Linked DNA regions of Mus musculus. The protein of the gene in region 1 purifies or fractionates together with the protein of each later gene. This does not show direct contact. Links are inferred from orthologs where the notes say so. Each region holds a gene or a part of one and is shown on either strand. Other genes may lie near its edges.

Region 1 (4,298 bases):
CCAGGACAGCCAGGGCTACACAGAGAAACCCTGTCTCAAAAAAACAAAACAAAACAAAAGAAACATGCATGCAGACAAGACAAAACATCCATACAGCCAGTCAAGGTGGCAAAGCGTTTAATCCTATCACTTAGGAGGCAGAGGCAGGCAAATCTGTGTGTTTAAAGTTAGCCAGAGGGCTGGTGAGATGGCTCAGTGGGTAAGAGCACCCGACTGCTCTTCCGAAGGTCAGGAGTTCAAATCCCAGCAACCACATGGTGGCTCACAACCATCCATAATGAGATCTGACTCCCTCTTCTGGAATGTCTGAAGACAGCTACAGTGTACTTACATATAATAAAAAAAAAAAAAAAAAAAAAAAAAAAAAAAAAAGTTAGCCAGAGCTACAAAGTGAGTTCAAGGCCAGCCTTGGCTACATAGTGAGACCCTGTTTCAAAAAAACAAAAGCAAACAAATAAACGAAGAAAGGCCTGGGCTTGGAAATTTAGCTGAATTGTACGACCCTGGGTTTGATCTTCAGGTCTGGAGAGGAGAGTGGAGAAAGAAAGAGTCAGGGGGCAGCTGGTGAGATGGCTCAGTGGGTAAGAGCACCCGACTGCTCTTCTAAAAGTCCTGAGTTCAAATCCCAGCAACCATGTGGTGGCTCACAACCATCCATAACGAGATCTGACTCACTCTTCTGGAGTGTCTGAAGACAGCTACAGTGTACTTACATATAGTAAATAAATAAATCTTTTAAAAAAAAAAAAACCCTTAAAAAAAAAAGAGTCAGGGGGTAGTTTGCATACTATCAGTCAACAGTAACGACTCAGTCAATGCAGATTTCTATTGTAGCACGACTACTTCTGTAATTCAGAAGACACCCCCAGCTAAGTTAGATGGAAAGACAGTTAAGGAAAGTGAAGAACCAAAAAGTGACCTAAGGGACTGAAGAGATGGCTAAATAATTAAGAGTGCATAACCGTGCTTGCAGAGGACCTGAGTTCAATTCCTAGCATCCATATCCAGGGTCTCACAACTCCAGGTAGGAGGGGACCTGAAACCCTCTTGAAGCTTCAGAAGGTACCAGCACTCATGGGCTTGCACTCACCCCAGATAACATACAAGTACACATAGTTAAAATTAAAATAAATTGCTGGGTGGTGGTGGCTCGTGTCTTTAATCCCAGCACTCAGGAGGCAGAGGTAAGTGGATGTCTGAGTTTAAGGCTAGTTTGGTCTATGGGGTAAGTTCCAGGACAGCCAGGGCTACACAGTGAATCCCTGCCTCAAAAACAAAAGTACAAAACTGACAGCCAGGACTACACAGAGAAACCCTGTCTCTAAAAACAAAAACAAACAAACAAACAAAAAATCAAACCAACCAACCAACCAACCAAACAAACAAACAAAAAACCTGCTGGGTAGTGGTGGCACATGCCTTTAACTTGAGAGGCAGAGGCAGGTGGATTTCTGAGTTCGAGGCCAGCCTGGTCTACAGAGTGAGTTCCAGGAGAGCCAGGGCTACACAGAGAAACCCTGTCTCAAAAAAAAAAAAAAAAAAAAAAAAAAAAGAAAAGAAAAGAAAAGAAAAGAAAAAAGAAAACCCTAAAACCAGAAAAGAAAAACCAAAAAACTAAGATAAAATGAATCTTAACAACAACAAAAGACTTAAGGCAACTAGTAAGTGGACTAGGGACTGAACCCTCACCTTAGGAAATACCCCATAACCTTTCTATGAATAATACTCTTACCTTGTTGACCTGAGTGACCACAGCATCCACCACTTCACCTTTAAAGGGCCGGAAAACAATAGCTTTGTATTTCACTGGATAAAGAACAAAACCTCGGCCTGGCTGGATCACACCAGCACCAATATTGTCGATGGTGGTGACAGCAATTACAAAGCCATATCTGCATGAAAAATGAAAGAAGACAGCTATGTGAAGAGCCTCTGAAAAGCCACCAGCAATAAGAGTCTCTGTGTGAAAGAACCTCTGTTCAGATGGTTCATTGATCAAGAAGAGACAGGACACAGATTAGCACCTAAATATATATATATATATATACACACACACACACACACACACACACATATATATGTTTTTTCGAGACAGAGTTTCTCTGTGTAGCGCTGGCTGTCCTGGAACTCACTCTTTAGACCAGGCTGGCCTTGAACTCAGAAATCCACCTGCCTCTGCCTCCCAAGTGCTGGAATTAAAGGCATGCGCCACCCCCGACCAGCTTAGCACATGAAATATTAAATGATGCTCTCATGATGGTACAGTAAATGCCCAAGAAGGCCTAGATATGCTGACATACACCTATTCTCTCAGTACCATGTAGGCTAAGGCAGGAGGACTTGCCAGGGTCAAAGCTGAGACAGGTCTTTCAAAAACCACAAACGAGTCAGAGAATTGTGATGAAAGCCTTTAATGTCAGCACTCAGTGGCAGGCAGATCTCTGAATTAGAGCCCAGCTTGGTCCACATAGTGAGGCCATCTCAAAACTCAAAAACATTTGCATAATAACGGTCTTATCTCACATAAGGGAAGAAAATTTTCTTTAGTAGCTTTTCAGAGTGTCTAAAACAGGCAAAAACTGGCTGCTTCAGGTGCCTGGAGGGGTGAAAGGGTTCCTCAGAGTAAGCGACAAGCCCTGACAGAAGGAGTTAAGAAGAGGTTAGAGACTAGCGCCATTGTGCGTGCATTCAGCAGACCTCTCTGTGAAGCAGAAACTCACTTCCCAGTGCAGGTCCCCTCCACCTCGGTAAACAGCTTCTGCTTCACCGTGTTGAGCAAGTTTGGACCGAAGTATCGTGGGTGCAGGAGGATCTCGTGCTCCAGGGAAATCTGCAGAGAAAGGAAGATGGAGACTCAGCCAGCCACATTGAGGACAGGAGGCGACCTGTCGGCCCTTCCGGGCCTCCAGGATCCTCCTGTGACTGCCCCTCACAGTTACCCCGCATCCAGCTCACGTGATAAAACATCTTCTGCAGAAGCTTGGCCCGCAGCGCCCAGAACTTCCCACGCAGAGACCTCTCCGGAAGCACTTGCAGAAGTCCCACCACTTCTCTGCGGTCGCTTCCGCAGCGCTGATTGAGTCTTAACGTCATGGGCGGGGATACATGAAGCCCCGCCCCTCAGGCCTGCCCACCACCGTTCATACTCCCCTCCTACTTAAAGCAAATTCTAGGACAGCCGGGATTACAGAGAAAAACCCGGCCTCGAAGAACCAAAGCCAAAACTAAAACCAAAACCAAAACCAAAACCAAAACCAAAACCAAAACCAACCAAAAAATGTGAGTTATTTTAGGTCTGACTTTTACCACATGCCCTTAAACCCAGCCGTGGCAAACAGATCTCTAAACTTAAGGCTAAGCCACAGCTACAAAGTGAGTTCCAGGGTAACCTGGGCTGTGTATACAACCCTGTAAAACATTTACACATATTTAAAAAAAACCAAAAAATTATTATTATTTAATTTGGGGGCTGAAGAAATAGCTCAGTCCTTAAGAGCACTTGCTCCTCTTGCAGAGGTCCAGGATTTAATTCCCAGCACCCACAGGGTAGCTCACACTCTTCTTTGTAACTCCAGCTCAGGGAGAGCTGACATCCTCTTCTGGCTTCCTTCAGCACTGCATGTGAGTGGTACCCAAACACACATACAGGCAGAACACCCATGCTTGTAAAATAAAAAGAAAGGCTAGGCAGCTGGGGATATGATTGTTCTTCCAAAGGATCCAGGTTTGATTCCCAGCACAAGCATGCTGACTCAACTCTCTATCTATACTTCAATCCCAGGGGATCCAGTGCCCTCTGGCCTCCATGAACACAGCACCCTTGTGGTGAACAGACATAGCTGTAGCCAGAACACTCACACATATAAAATAAGAATAACGGTTTTTTTTTTTTTTACATGTAAATAAAAATAAAGCTCTCAAAGAGGACCTGAGTTCAGTTACTAACACTAGCATTTCACAACTCCAGCTCTAAGGGGACCTGAAATCTTCTCGTAGCCTCAGAAGGTACCAGTACTCATAGGCTCATACTCACACATAGGTAGCATACATTATTAAGTACACATAATTAAAAAGAAATCACTTAGCTGGGCATGATGGCGCACGCCTTTAATCCCAGCACTTGGAAGGCAGAGACAAGTGAATTTCTGAGTTTGAGGCCAGCCTGGTCTACAGAGTGAGTTCCAGGACAGCCAGGGGCACATAAACAAGGCTGTCTTAAAAAACAAAACAAAACAAAAAAACCCCAAAAAGACAGCAAACAAACAAAAAGATTATGTCTGCAGGCATGCACTAGGCTT
Region 2 (4,623 bases), on another chromosome or scaffold:
CTGCCGCCGCTACCGCCTAGGGGGAGTCAGGAGAGACCAAGGGGTGGGTTATGCTAATAATACTGCATAAACATGAGCTTTGGCCAGAGGACACGAGTCTCCGGATGCTTCTGGAGGAGGCGAGGCCAGAGTGAGGGAGGAGCTAGACTAATAAGGGTAGGGGAAACAAGGTTGCAAAAACGGGGAATTCCAAGAGGGGTGGGGATATGCTAATGACCCTGTGTCCACCCTAAGCACAGCCACGAGCTCTCCTCCTGCAGTCCGCCTTTGGGAGGAGCTATGCTAATAAACCCCATCTTTGGGCGAAAAAGTTTTCTTCGGGGCGGGGATATGCAAATTAAATGTTGCGGTAGTTATTATCTAAGGACCACTGTTTCTGGTAGGTGTGGCTTGGGGCTCCTTCTCAGGGCCGTATATAGGGAGATCTTAGGACAGCACAGGTCTCAAAATTAATCTCCGCCTCCTCCCTGGGATTGTCGCCAAGTTCTCTGCCCCAGCTTCGTTCTAGAGGCTGGCGTCTCGGCCTGTCTATGGACTTAGGCTTCCGGTTCCCGCTGTCCCAGCCAAACGGAAGATAGACTGGGAGGGGAGCTGGGGCCCTGGAGGGGGACAGCAGGGTAACTGGGCAGGACGGGCTGTGAGATCACCACATTCCTAATCCATGAGCCAGTTCATCCTAGTCGGGAAGTCCGGGTCTAGAAGGGCCGACAGCCAGGATTTCTGGGCTTTGGAAGGATGCGGTTGATAGCTCAGACACTGGTTCCTACGAGAGTATTGAGTTAGAGACTTAGATTTCTCCGGTCCGACTCCGGTCCAGGGGGTCGGGAGGGGCTCCTTACTACTACTGGGAAAGCTGGGAGTCTGGACTCATGGGGCCAAAGGATGGAGAGTCTGGGGACCCAGAATTCTGAGTTCGAGGGCATGAGTGCTCCGGGAGGGTTGTGGAAGAATTTAGCACTTACATTTATGTAAGATATGGTATTGACGTCCTGAAAGGGAAGAGGATTGAAATTCCAGAGTCCCAAGGAAGAGGGAAATGAGTCTTCACTCATCTGCTCTGAACCAGAAGACTCAGAGTTTGGATTTTCCTGTCCTGAGTAAAGGAGCTCTGGTTTGACTCCTGAGTTCTGAATTTAATGGAGATTATTTTAAGTTAAAGCCTATTCTGGACATCTTAGAATGAACTTATCTCAAAACAAACAAACGAAAAGAGGACTATAGATATAGTTTAGTGATAACATAGAACGTTTGTCTACCATGTATGAGCATTTAAATTCAATCTCTAGTTCCCCCCCCCCAATAAATAATTTTAGAAGCTGGGCATGATAACTGACGAGTCCCAGCACTGGGGAAACAGAAGCAGAAAGACAGCAGCAAGTTCCAAGCCCGTCTGAGATACATAAGACAGCGTCTCAAAAAAATCTTCTTAGGATTTATAGGAGAAAAAAATTAGAAGGGTTTCATATTCAGAAAGGACGACCATGGGCGGGGTAGCGTCCATCTTAATTGAACTACAATTCCCATGGATCTCAACAACGGAGCGCCTTTTTTACATCACTTCCTGATCCGCCGCCTTTTTCCCCGCGCACGCAGGACACTGAGGGGGGTCGTACCGCGCGCTCCAGCAGCCCCGCCCACTTCACCTCTCACCCCGTACACTGTCCCCCGCGTGACGGAGTCTTCACACGGACTACATCTCCCGGCATCCAGCGCGCGCACTCCACCTCCATGTGACGCATTGATTTCTGGGAAACGGAGTCGCCTCCGGTGCTGCCGGCCTTTCGGAAACCCAGCTGGGTACTTGAAATCCCGGCAAGCGCCGCGGCAATTTGGTTCCGCCCTTCCCCAGCTCAAATCGCGAGCCCCGCCCCATTCCGCCCCGCCCCGCGCCGGGACCGGAGCCGCAGCCCGAGCGGCGGGGTAAGATGGCGGCGGCGGTCCGGGCCGCGGGGCTCGGGCCTATCGGGGTGGGCGGGGCGGAGTCGGGTCGCTAGTCGTCTCCGAGTGTCGCCCGTATGCCACGGGGCCTGGAGAGCGTAGCGTGGCACCTTCGGACCCGGCTGCAGCGGCCAAGGCAGTCTCTGAGTAGGGGGCCTTCTTAGGGCCCCGGACGCGCCCGTGGGTGCCAGAGGGCTTTCGTATGGCCTGGACCGCGACTAGGCCGGCCCTCCTTCCCATTGCTGAGCCTGGACACGTCTGCAGGCGCCGTAGATGGTTTTTATGTGCGACCGTAGGCTAGGGTCTGTTGAGAGGCTTTTGGGGCCATCTTGAGATCTTCACTCCCCCAGGAGTTAAGGGGGTCTGCAGAGTCACCTAGTTCACTGGGGTGTATTTGTTAGGGCTGGGAAGTCTCTCCTCATGCTGGCCTCTGCATTCGGCTCATCTACATGGATCTGGGACCATTTATGAGGCCTGGAAGCTCTCTTCAAGGACTAGGAAGTGTTAAGGTCCACCTGGAAGAAAGAGATGTACTCCCACCTAGGGAGAGGGAAGCAAGCTTTGTGATGTGCCCAGAGGCATAAATGAGTCGCTAAGGTCTGGGAAGTGTTTTATGTGGGGGTGACTCGGAGATAGGGGTGGGTGGGGTAGGGTGGGGTAGTTTGAAGGAACTAGAATCGTCCAATGATTGCAAGAATACAGTCTATGTCTTGGAGGAAATTCAAGTGCTTTTGAAGAGTAGATAAATGTGTAGAGAATAATAACAGAAAACGCTGGGAATTTTATCCAGCTCAAATGTACTTGCCTTTCAGAAAGTAATTAAAAAGAAAATGGTTTCAAACAAAAAAGAACCTGTGTTGTCCCCATGCTGAGGAGTTAGAATCATTCCTGAGGGTCTGTAGAGCTGTCTGGGATCATCTAGTGCAGTGCTCTGCAACTTGACCTTGATAGGAAGGGAAAAAATGCATTATTCGATGAGATTAAGTGCATGCCAACATATGTATTTTACTAATATTACTCCAGTCCTGCAAACTCATGGTTCCATTTGAAACTTGGAAAGTATTTTCCATTATGTTTTATGTACTTTGTGTAATGAGCTGTTTGTGAATCACTAAATTGCTCCCAGAGCCCTGTAATTGAGGGATCACCGATCTCACATGGTCTGCAGAGCCTTACAAGGTCTATGGTTTTGGGGATCTCCAAATCTGCAGCCAGGATCTCTTGGTACAATTTCTTTTCTGTGACAGTCAGTGCTTTGGATAAGATGTGTATCAGACTGTGAGAGAGCATCCTCAGAGCTGGGAATTATTGCTATACAGGGTAGGAAAGTCTTGAATGTTAGCTTAGAGAAGCTTGGATATGGTAGGGGGGCCATCAGTAAGGTATGCCTGAGGGAATCAGGAAGAAGCTGAAGGTTTGGAGAGCTGGAGCTGGGGGGGGTTGTGGAGGCCAAGGTATAGTTTCAGAGTAGGACTGAGACCAGGGCTGAGGCCAAAAGGCGAAACCTGGTCGAAGGGCTACTGATAGAATTATTGCTAATGTGTATCCAGCCATTTATATGTGGAAACCAGTGTGAGAGATACTACTATTTTGCCATTTTCAGATAAGCGCTAGTGTGGTTTAGGGAGCCTAGGGCTTTTAGGAATTCCAAGATTAGGTGTTTTCAGAGTAGCAGGTTTGACAGCTGTGGGGAGGTTTACAGCTGTGATGTTCATGTTTTCTGAAGCCTCAATCAAGACATCCACCAGTCTGAAGGATGCTCTTTCAACTACCTGACTGGGCACTCAAAGCTCAGAATTCCCGTGACATCACCGAGGCTTTGGCCATGCTTCCACAGGACAGGCAGCTGGGTGATAGGCAAGTGTCCCAATGGGGCTGGGAGGACAGCATGCCTTTCTGAAACTTGGCATTTTTGTTTTAAAAGCGGTGTGGTGGTTATGTAGATCATACTATCATAGTTGTATCTCGTGGCTGTAAATAAAGCTCTTGGGCTCCTCATCATGGAGGATAATGAATGCTGTGTGAACCTACGGTACCTGTTACAGAGTACCCCTGAGCATGTCGGCACATTCCCCGCTGTGGGGAAGGTGGCTTTCTGAGACTGAAGCACGACGCTCTTAAAATCATGACACCCGAAGTCAGGGTTGAGTTTGCATCTATTTGACTGGGTTGGGTAATTAATTGGAGGTTTGCCTAGGAGCATTGGGAAGCTGTGGGCAGTGGAGGGCCAGGTGTTGGAGCAGGTGGCTGAGCGGTCCTCCCATTGATGGGGAGGCAGCCGAAATCCAGAAGAAGGATAAGAATGGCTCTAGTCCCTGCAGGTCAGCGTGGGACCACGGACAAGGTCATCAGGAATGAGGCGGAAGAGAGGGACACTAAAGCAGGATGCACTGGGGGCCCTTGAGGTCTTCCTTCACCTCTGACCTGCCTCCCTCAGCCTTCACTTCAAACTGTTGCCTCAACCCCAGGTGACCATGGAGGAGGAAGATGAGTCTCGAGGTAAAACAGAGGAGTCGGGAGAGGATCGGGGAGACGGTCCACCTGACAGAGATCCTGCCCTTTCTCCTTCTGCCTTTATTTTGGTAAGAAAGCTGGGTGCAGTGAGGCCTGGAGGCCTAGGTTCTCATGCTCTGAAGTATGGGCTGGGGGTTCAGGCCCTGAACCAGGCCTTCAGGAAGAATTGGG
Region 3 (4,464 bases), on another chromosome or scaffold:
CAGATCTCTTTACGGATGGTTTTGAGCCACCATGTGGTTGCTGGGATTTGAACTCAGGACCTTTGGAAGAGCAGTCAGTGTTCTTACCTGCTGAGCCATCTCACCAGCCCTCATCTTATCCTCTTAATACGATTACCTAAAAGGACGTGAGTTTTCTACTTGTATTGTCACAACTTGACAGGCAAAGCCACTCCCCCAAAGCAATGAAAGACAGCAGTTTGCCATGACCGAGTCAGTCTCGCAGCAGATGAGGAAAAGGATACTGCTTCATGACTTCTTTATATTTCACTGTGTCTCGGATATCTGAGGGGGAAAGAGAGAAAGAGAGAACGGCTTACTTTAGAGCATGACCTCACTTGTCTGGACTGACTTTGCGCTTCCCAGGTGGCCCGAGCTGCTCTCCTTCCTCAGTCTCCTGAGCGCTGAGATTGTACAAGTGCCACCGTATCTTACCAGCATTTTCTTATCCCTTCCTCCACACTTTCTTCCTGACTAAAGATAACTGCCAAGTAGTACCCCAGGAAGAATGTTTCGCTCCAGGGCGTGGTGGCAAACACCTTTAATCCGAGGGCTCAGGAGACAGAGGCAAGTGGATCTCTGTGAGTTCAAGACTGGCCTAATCTAGAGCAATTCCAAGACAGTCAGGACCACACAGAGAGACCTTGTCTCAAACAAAGAAAAGGTTAGGCCAAAAGCTCTTAGCTATGATAGATACTGTCTAGAACAACATTACAGGTTTTGGACAATTTCAGTGGCAGTGGGCATATGCACAGGAATACCAACATACAAAAACAAAATAAGCAAAGACTTCTTACTAGTGGCTGCATGGTAATGACGGCAATTCACAGACATCGGAACTATAAGCCTGTCTACTAAGAACGACTACAACCTACCCCCCAGGGGTTGGAGATGCTCAGTGATTAAGAGCACTTGAAGCTCTTGTAGAGGACCCAGATTCAGTTCCCAGCACTCACAGGGCAGCTCACAACTCTCTGTAGATCCAGTTCCAGGGGTCCTGGTGCCCTCTTCTGGCCTCTGCAGGAACCAGACACACACAGACGCAGACACGCATGTGGCAAAACACCCATACACATTAAATAAAAATGAATAAAAACAAACCTACCCACCAGTCTGTAAATTAATAATATCACATATTTATCCTCTAGTTTAAATAGAAAATTTGTTGCCCTATAATCCCAAAATGATCAATGATTTTTGTTGTTGTTGTTGTTTGTTCTTGTTTCTCTGTGTAGCCCTGGCAGTCTTAGAACTGATCTGCCTGTGTCTTCCTCCTGAGTGCTAGGATTAAAGGCGTGAGCCATCACCGCCTGACCTAACCTATGATTCTCAAAACAAGATTCCCTACCCAATTTGTGTATTTGGGGTAAGAAAGCTTCATACCCTAGCCCTGACAGTTAAGGCCTAGGAGTCAGGAAGCCTGGACATCCAAGAGCCCTGTTAGTGGATCACAGACACTTTGATAACAAATCTACCCCCACGCCCACCTTTTCTTTTCCAAACGAGGTCTGGCTATGCAAGTCGGACTGACTCTGAACTCTAAATATTCTGCCTCAGGCTCCCTTGGATCACACCAATACTTAAATCTTTTTGATAGTCTCAATCAGAAAGCTCTCCTCAGAACAGTGCATATTCTTACACACACACCCCACACACACAACTTTGGAAATGGAAGGAACCTGCCTATAAAGTGAATTACAGCAAATCTTATAAACTCTGACAAAAGAAACCAAAGGATTCACGTGTCAGGTGACAGCCCGACCTAATGTCATGTCTCATTCTCAAACCAATTCAACGGTTTCACACACCGAGGGCATGAGAGAGAGGTGAGCGGGGATAGTGCATAAGAGGGATAAATCTGCATAAGCAAGAAGCCTGTTCCGGAACTCAGGCAAATCCACAGAAAAGAAAAGTACATAGTTAGCTAGCTTAGAAAGAAAAGACAAGAAAAGGAAATCAAGCAAGCAGGCAGGCAGGCACTCACCAATATTGGCGGGAAAGGGGACTTCATGCACAGCTGGGTCCAGGTTGATTACATACGGTGGACAGCCTTTGTTGTGCAGGTGTCCTGTGAGCCTCTGCAAAAACAAGGAGCCAGGGTTGGAGGGTGATGACCAAAGGATAGGAACGGGCCCCGAGAATTCCCATCCCTTTACTGACCATGCTTATAAAATCTGTAACAATCTCCTTCTTCCCTCAGCGTGTTCAACACTGAAGAGTTTAAAAAGCCATCTAGTTCCAGTACCTGTCTCCCTATTCTCCGTCACGGCTTCGCTAACTCTGCCCCTCCAAGGGTTTTCTTCCTCTGTCTCCTCCACTAAAACACTCACTCCGTGAAAGCAAGAACCCTGTCGATCTCATTGCCGCTGTACTCTCAGAGCTTAGAACGTGGTAGGTCGAACGAAGTGATTCTTTCACAACTCTTCACGCAAACCAGAGTAGTAGACGTTACACTCCCCTACTCTTTAGGCCCGGGCCTTCGGAAAGCTGCCAATTCGCAGCAAGACAAGTTCAGCTGTACCAAGTGTGCATTAAGGTTGCCCAGGAGCCGGCCTCAAGTGACCCAGGCTAGGGTTCGAGGCTTCGGGAAGGAAAGGAGTCAGAGGACAGCTCGAGAAAACCACGCGCCCGGACCCGCAGATTCCCCAGACAACTTCCTCCCTTCTTCCCGGGCCTGAGGCGCCACTACCGCTTCTGCACGGTGCACGTCACCTGTACAAAGGTAGTTTTCCCGGATCCCGCCATTCCCAACACCAACAGACACACGGGGGGCTGAGGAGCCCGGGAAGCCTGGGGTTCGGATGGAGCCACGGGCGCCGCCATCTTTCCTCAGCCACGCCCACCACTCAGGGATCGCCCGGCGGCCTGCGGGCTCTCTGAATTCCGGGCTGCGATTGGTAGGAAAATCCGTCCTCTTGCGTACAGGGCTACGATTGGTCGAACGATCCGGCCTCTCTGAGTTTAGGGTTGCGATTGGCCAGACTATCCAAACCGCTCGAACCTACTGCAGTGGGTGCCTGACCGGCTTTTGGCATCTGACTTGCAGGGGTCACTTTGATGCTATAGTGGCTTTGCACAAGTGAGGGGTAGTGTAGGGAACCAGGAAGGGTTGACAGGAGTGAGATAGGACCCGGAAAGGGTTAAGCTCGTGTCCCCAAGGGAGTAATGAGGTGGGATTCCCAAGCCAGGATCTGTCAGGATCCTATAACAAAGGTGTTGCTCTACCTTTTATTTTATTGTCTAAGAAGAAGAAGAAAAAAATTAAACGTCATTATGTTCTAGAAAATATTAGGTAAAAATTAGCGTAACACTTGAAAGATAGCATGAATACTGTACTTTAACAGAGGAAGATACATTTTCTGGCAATCATTGCCTAATGCAAAGGGGACTAAAGAACCTTACAGCGTTTGTGGCTGAAGTGTGGCTGAATAATTAATACCGGAAGATATGGGTAGAGGAAGGGAGACGAACCTCATGAGGGAAAGCCCTGTATGACAGAGACTGTGACCAATGTCTTATTTGCTCATCTGTATGGCTATTTGTCCAAGGGAAGAAGAAAAGATGGTGAACCAAAGGCTCAAGGGAACCAGAAAACTCCTAAAAAGTCCCCTTTAAGAGTGAGGTAAAGGGCTAGGAGTCAAGGGTGGCCCTGGGTTTTGTTGACATTCTTGGAAAGTGGATAAAACTCTTTTTTTTTTTTTTAAGATTTATTTATTTATTATATGTAAGTACACTGTAGCTGTCTTCCGACACTCCAGAAGAGGGAGTCAGATCTCATTATGGGTGGTTGTGAGCCACCATGTGGTTGCTGGGATTTGAACTCCGGACTTTCGGAAGAGTAGTCGGGTGCTTTTACCCGCTGAGCCATCTCACCAGCCCCCGTGGATAAAACTCTTAAAGAACAAAAAGTTTGTATATATCTATACATAGATATCTCATTTTATTATGACATGTGCAGGCTGTGGAGAGGGCTCAGTTAGTAAGGTGCTTGCTGCACAAACTTAAGGGCCAGAATTCAGACCCCTGCCCTCACATAAAAGCCCAGGCATTGTGGATTGTGCCTATAATCCCAGTGCTAGGGAGCTAGAGATGGGAGAATCCCTGGAGCTCAGTGGCCAGCTAGCTTAGCCAAATTAATGAGCTCCAGGATCAGTGAGCAACGTACCATACCAAATGGATAGTGATTCTCCTTTCCTGACTCAGGCCCTCTCTGGGCACCACTGTCTGGCTTGTGTTACTTTCTGGCAGGGATTCAGGTAACATTATTTTTCTGGCAGTACCCATACAGTTCAGTTAGTTCACTCCCCACCATGTGAGTCTCAGAGATGGAATTCAGGTTGGAAAGATTGGCTGTAAACACCTGTAATTACTGACCCAACTCCTGGCTGTGGCATCAGCAATTTGGCAAGTTGAAGCTTTGTATGGGGAGATTCTCCGATGACCTTG
Region 4 (4,665 bases), on another chromosome or scaffold:
AAACCCTGTCTCCAAACAAACAAACAAAAAAGAAAACATCTCCTGATATCTCTAGTACAGTCACTTACATTTAACCAAGACCTAAATGACTAAATAATGGATGTCATAGGAAAAGGAAGAAGCAAGAGTAGCCTCAGGGAAATGGACAGAAAGACTGGGAATGCTTGAGCAAACTTAGCAACTCTGTGAAGGTCTAAACATTAGGTGAAAATACTGGCCTAATACAACAGCCATTTGCATCCTAGCCTTCACCACTCTGGCTTTATTCCTGAGGTAGATATTTATCACCTGTAAACACAAATGTCCACAAATTATTCTTAGCCATTTTAGAAAGTTTAAGTTTCACTCCACTATGAAACTGATAGCAGGCTTTAAAAAGTCAAATACATTTCACTTCATTTAAATTATGTAGAATCCACTTTTCAGATAAAAAAATTACCCTCCTACTCTTAGTACCAACAAAGGAAATAAACTCAGACACAAACAACAACAAAGACAGGGAAAATTCTGGTCCTAGCATTTCTCATTATGCCTGACTAGAAAAAAAAAAGTGTAATTGTCACTTGTGATCCCACAACGCAGAGATAGGGGCCAACTTATTCTTGAAAATATATAACCACAGGGTTAAAACACTGGAGACCAACAGTAAGGAATGTAAAAATGCTTCATAGTTTGGTAAAATGATTTAAAACGGTGGAAGATGTCCCCACATCAGCACTGCTTACTACACTGATACACTCAATACACCAAGCACCATCTCACAAAGCTAACAACAGAGCCCAACCTTAACCACATCGCTTTACTGAGTAACCTTTCGCAACCTGACATTTCTGAGCCCTAGGTTCCTCATATGCAATTCAACAGACTATAAAGTATATTAGAAGGACTAAGGAAATGGCTGGCATGTGGCAGATACATAATATGTGAGTCTTTGAAGGTGACAGATATTGCAGATTCTAGTTTAACCTCTTGGCAAGAAGTAAACAAACAAACAAAAAATCTGACAATAATAAATAAAGACTAAGCCGGGTGTGGTGGCGCACGCCTTTGATCCCAGCACTCGGGAGGCAGAGGCAGGTGGATTTCTGAGTTCGAGGCCAGCCTGGTCTACAGAGTGAGTTCCAGGACAGCCAGGGCTATACAGAGAAACCCTGTCTCAAAAGACCAAAATGATAATAATAATAATAATAAAAAAGACTAGCTAATCCTGTCCTTTCTCTCGAATATCCTTCTCAACAGTATATTTCAAAGAACCACAGAACAACTGTCTTAAATACAAAAGATTTTAAATTTGGGGCCTATAATTTTGAAGTTTTATCCACTTGTTCACTAACAAGTAAACTCAAAAAATATTATAGAAGCGAAGACAGACATGGAATAAGAAAACTGTTAACTGAGTACCACTGGCAAGAGGCTATATAGATAGGAAGCAAACAACTTGAATAAATATGTATGGAGTTGGGGTTATAATTGCTTAAAATTTACTGGGTAGAACAAGCTGGCCTCAAACTTTCAGCAATCCTCCTGCCTCAGCCTCTGAAACGACATGGGCCACCACGCCCAGTTTAACAATTCATATTTTAGAAGACCTCTTTTCTGTATTAAAGCAGTGTTGTGGGGAGAACCACACAGGTTGAAAAAAAAAAGTATACTTGAGATGGGGGTTATATCTAAAACAGATAAATATATTTTAAAATTCACATTTCCCATTTTGATTGCCTATGCAAACAAACTCAATTCTGTAAAGTGTGCTTCAGGAGATTAAAAAGTGGCCGGATATATTTTATACTTCGGTACCAATGATGATTACAGTCTCGCAGTTGTGTCTCGTCAGTATCCCGTGGTCTGTATTTTAGTGTTGCAAACACAGGTAAAAGGAAAACAGGTGGTCGCCTCACAGCTCTGTAGAGTTCCTATTGCTTCACATTCATCCAGGGAAAGCCTCCTTAAAACACACGCCAAGTTTCACCCACAGTCATCAAGAGAAGGCCCCTTTCTAGACATATCCCAAGTTTCACGTCGGCGGAAAACACTGCCTGGTCTAACATATTTCAGGGAAGTGGACAGCTTAAACCATGGCTTGACTAGCCAACAGGAAACCCAGAGATCATTAACACGTCAAGGCCTGTAAGAAATAAACGGACGCGACCATTTCCGTGAAGGTTCAGGATAATCAACAACACACCTTCCAGGGCTCGGAAGGAAACGCGAAAATCTCTACGGGTCTAGGCCCAACGGCCCAAGGTCACGCCAAATGTGAGGCTGAAAAATTCCAAGCAATGAGCCCCCTGCAGAGCAGGGCAACCGTGCCTAGGATGGAGTCTGGGCTAGGGAACACTCGCGCCCGATCTTTAATGTGAACCCCAACTGAATGCAGCAGCTCGGTGGGCAAACCCCAGAGTGTTTTGGGGGCCGCATTTTCTCCATCTCTCCAGCCTCCCCCTTCCTAGTCGCCCCCACACTCACATCTCCGGAGCCACTTCATCCAATGGTAGACGATTGTACTGTGGTGTTTCTTGTTTTCTATACACCAGGACGACAAGCCTTGAATGGATTCCATGGTGTTGGTCACCGACTGGAATTTTCGATCCAACGAAGACTCCAGGGCCCCTGCGGACGAGGCCGACGAGGAGGAGGCCTTACTGCTGCCTCCGCCGCCGCCGGCCGCCATCTTCCCCGGTTTGCACAAGCGCCTCTGGTCCTCTGGCGGCGGCGGCGGCGGCGGCGGCGGGAGCGGGCAAAACAATCAGTGCGAGTGCGTGAAAGCAGCAGGAGGGGAGGGCGGCCAGGGGGTGGGGACGCTGCACGCGCTAGGCTCCTCTGGCGGCAGGAGGGCTAGCTGCTGGGCGCGCTGGCGGCTCCCACACGCTGCGAGGAGGGGCCGCGGCCGCGGAGGACTGTCAGTATGGCTCGGGGGTGGTGTTTAAACCGGGAGTCGGGAGACGACTACGGAGGAGACAGAACCTGCGACGGCGCCGACAACTAAGGCTTTTAGCCTCTACGCTCCTCAACTCTTAAGGCCCTTCCCTCATCCCGTTGGCCAAATTCCGGTGAGCCCAGGGCGGCCTTGGTACCGAAGACGAAACGCTACTCCGCCGTCCCTTCGGCTGCAGAGAGCTTTGCCTTTAGATTTTCTACCACAGGAAAGGCCCAAAGCTACCTAGGCAGAAAATTTTCTTTCTTTTTTTTTTTTTCTTTTCTTTTTTTTTTTTTTCTTTTTTCTTTTTTTTTTTTTTTTTTGCAACGCAATAGCAGCAATAGACCAGCAGAAGAAATGCGCACGCGCACGGAAGCCCCGCCCCTCCGCTTCCTCCTCAATCTTGAGCACGGGGGCCGAGGGGGCGTGATGGCGCTGCGATTCGACCAATCAGGGAAGGGGGTCGGAGAAGCGCGTCGGGACCTGAAGGCGGAGGAGGCGCTGCGTCTCTCTGTGCGCCTGCGCGTTAGGTCTGCGCCTAGCGGGTTGGGAGGAAAACCTGGGGAGGCAGGATTGAGGCGCTCCGGAGCCTAGGACGTTACTAGACCCCAGTTCAGTGCTCGGCCCTGCTTTTGGCTTCATGGCGGGGTTGCTCCCTGGGAGCCTTTAATTCACACTAGGATGGGAAATGCCCACCGTTCTGTGGCTACTGTTTTTGACAGCTGCAGCTGCGTTCCCTGCCACCCCGCCATCGGGGACCTACACGCGACAAAATGGCTGGCACGTCTTGCGGAGTGGGGGAAGACGCGCATGCGTCAGGCCCTGTTAGCTGTTCTCTAGGCACTCCTTGACTAACCTATGCTACACGCCCGACTGCGATGACACCGTTCACAGCCAGCCGACCGACTGCATTCTAGAAAGAGGGAATAAAAGTTAAACGAAAATTTCTCTGAAAAGTCTTCGAAGCGAGGAAAGAGTAATTGACAAGGTGTGGCTTCTTTGCTAGGTAGTAACATCACAATTTCGTAATGCGTTATAGGTTTGTTTTTGTTTTTTCGAGACAAGGTTTTTCTGTGTAGCCCTGGCCGTCCTGGAACTCACTCTGTAGACCAGGCTGGCCTCGAACTCAGAAATCCACCTGCCTCTGCCTCCCAAGTGCTGGGATTAAAGACGTGCACCACCACTGCCCTGTGCGTTACAGTTTACAAGAGTCTTGAGTATTGTGTTTATTAGCACAGCCTCAAATTAACCATTATGGGCTGGAGAGATGGCTCAGCACGTAGGAGCACTGACTGCTCTTCCAAAGGTCCTGAGTTAAAATCCCAGCAACCACATGGTGGCTCACAATCATCCTTAATAAGATCTGACGCCCTCTCTGGTGTGTCTGAAGACAGCTACAGTGTACTTAGATATAATAATAAAGAAAATCTTTTTAAAAAATTAACCATTACATTCTCATCTGCCTGTGTGAATCTTTTGAGAAGATTGGACGTTCATGTATTCCTATTGAACACAGGAACTTCATTTTAATTATGCCAACTCAACGGAAAGGTTTTTGAGGCAAGGAGCCTGTTTCATCATTTAAAATTAATATCTCTGTGCCAAGAACTGTTTTAGGATTAGGGAAATGATGGCAAAGCAGACAAAAATTACTCCGCCTTGATTTGGTATCAGGACCAAACCACAAGCATGTGTCAGGGAGTAAGGAGTCATAAAGAGGTATGGAGTAAGATTAAAGGAGAAAGACT

Evidence for each region.
Region 2: the proteins of Polr2g (region 1) and Scaf1 purify together in Homo sapiens (affinity purification with mass spectrometry; 3 studies listed by BioGRID and IntAct, counting the BioPlex papers as one, with this or other methods). This does not show direct contact. The link is inferred for Mus musculus from reciprocal best matches to the Homo sapiens genes POLR2G and SCAF1.
Region 3: the proteins of Polr2g (region 1) and Gpn1 purify together in Homo sapiens (affinity purification with mass spectrometry; 4 studies listed by BioGRID and IntAct, counting the BioPlex papers as one, with this or other methods). This does not show direct contact. The link is inferred for Mus musculus from reciprocal best matches to the Homo sapiens genes POLR2G and GPN1.
Region 4: the proteins of Polr2g (region 1) and Rprd2 purify together in Homo sapiens (affinity purification with mass spectrometry; 3 studies listed by BioGRID and IntAct, counting the BioPlex papers as one, with this or other methods). This does not show direct contact. The link is inferred for Mus musculus from reciprocal best matches to the Homo sapiens genes POLR2G and RPRD2.

What each region holds. Positions count from the first base shown.
Region 1 is NC_000085.6:8,795,504-8,799,801, forward strand, and holds the start of Polr2g (DNA-directed RNA polymerase II subunit RPB7), read right to left. Parts: upstream 3,055-4,298; 5' UTR 2,968-3,054; coding exon 2,956-2,967; intron 2,831-2,955; coding exon 2,721-2,830; intron 1,893-2,720; coding exon 1,733-1,892; intron 1-1,732. UniProt on the Homo sapiens protein: Core component of RNA polymerase II (Pol II), a DNA-dependent RNA polymerase which synthesizes mRNA precursors and many functional non-coding RNAs using the four ribonucleoside triphosphates as substrates.
Region 2 is NC_000073.6:45,013,377-45,017,999, reverse strand, and holds the start of Scaf1 (splicing factor, arginine/serine-rich 19), read left to right. Parts: upstream 1-1,750; 5' UTR 1,751-1,920; exon of another isoform or gene 1,921-2,535; intron 2,536-2,595; exon of another isoform or gene 2,596-4,406; 5' UTR 4,407-4,412; coding exon 4,413-4,520; intron 4,521-4,623.
Region 3 is NC_000071.6:31,493,150-31,497,613, reverse strand, and holds the start of Gpn1 (GPN-loop GTPase 1), read right to left. Parts: upstream 2,874-4,464; 5' UTR 2,842-2,873; coding exon 2,731-2,841; exon of another isoform or gene 2,182-2,730; coding exon of another isoform or gene 2,179-2,181; intron 2,097-2,178; coding exon 2,003-2,096; intron 304-2,002; coding exon 264-303; intron 1-263. UniProt on the Homo sapiens protein: Small GTPase required for proper nuclear import of RNA polymerase II (RNAPII). May act at an RNAP assembly step prior to nuclear import.
Region 4 is NC_000069.6:95,816,081-95,820,745, forward strand, and holds the start of Rprd2 (regulation of nuclear pre-mRNA domain-containing protein 2), read right to left. Parts: upstream 2,874-4,665; 5' UTR 2,672-2,873; coding exon 2,467-2,671; intron 1-2,466.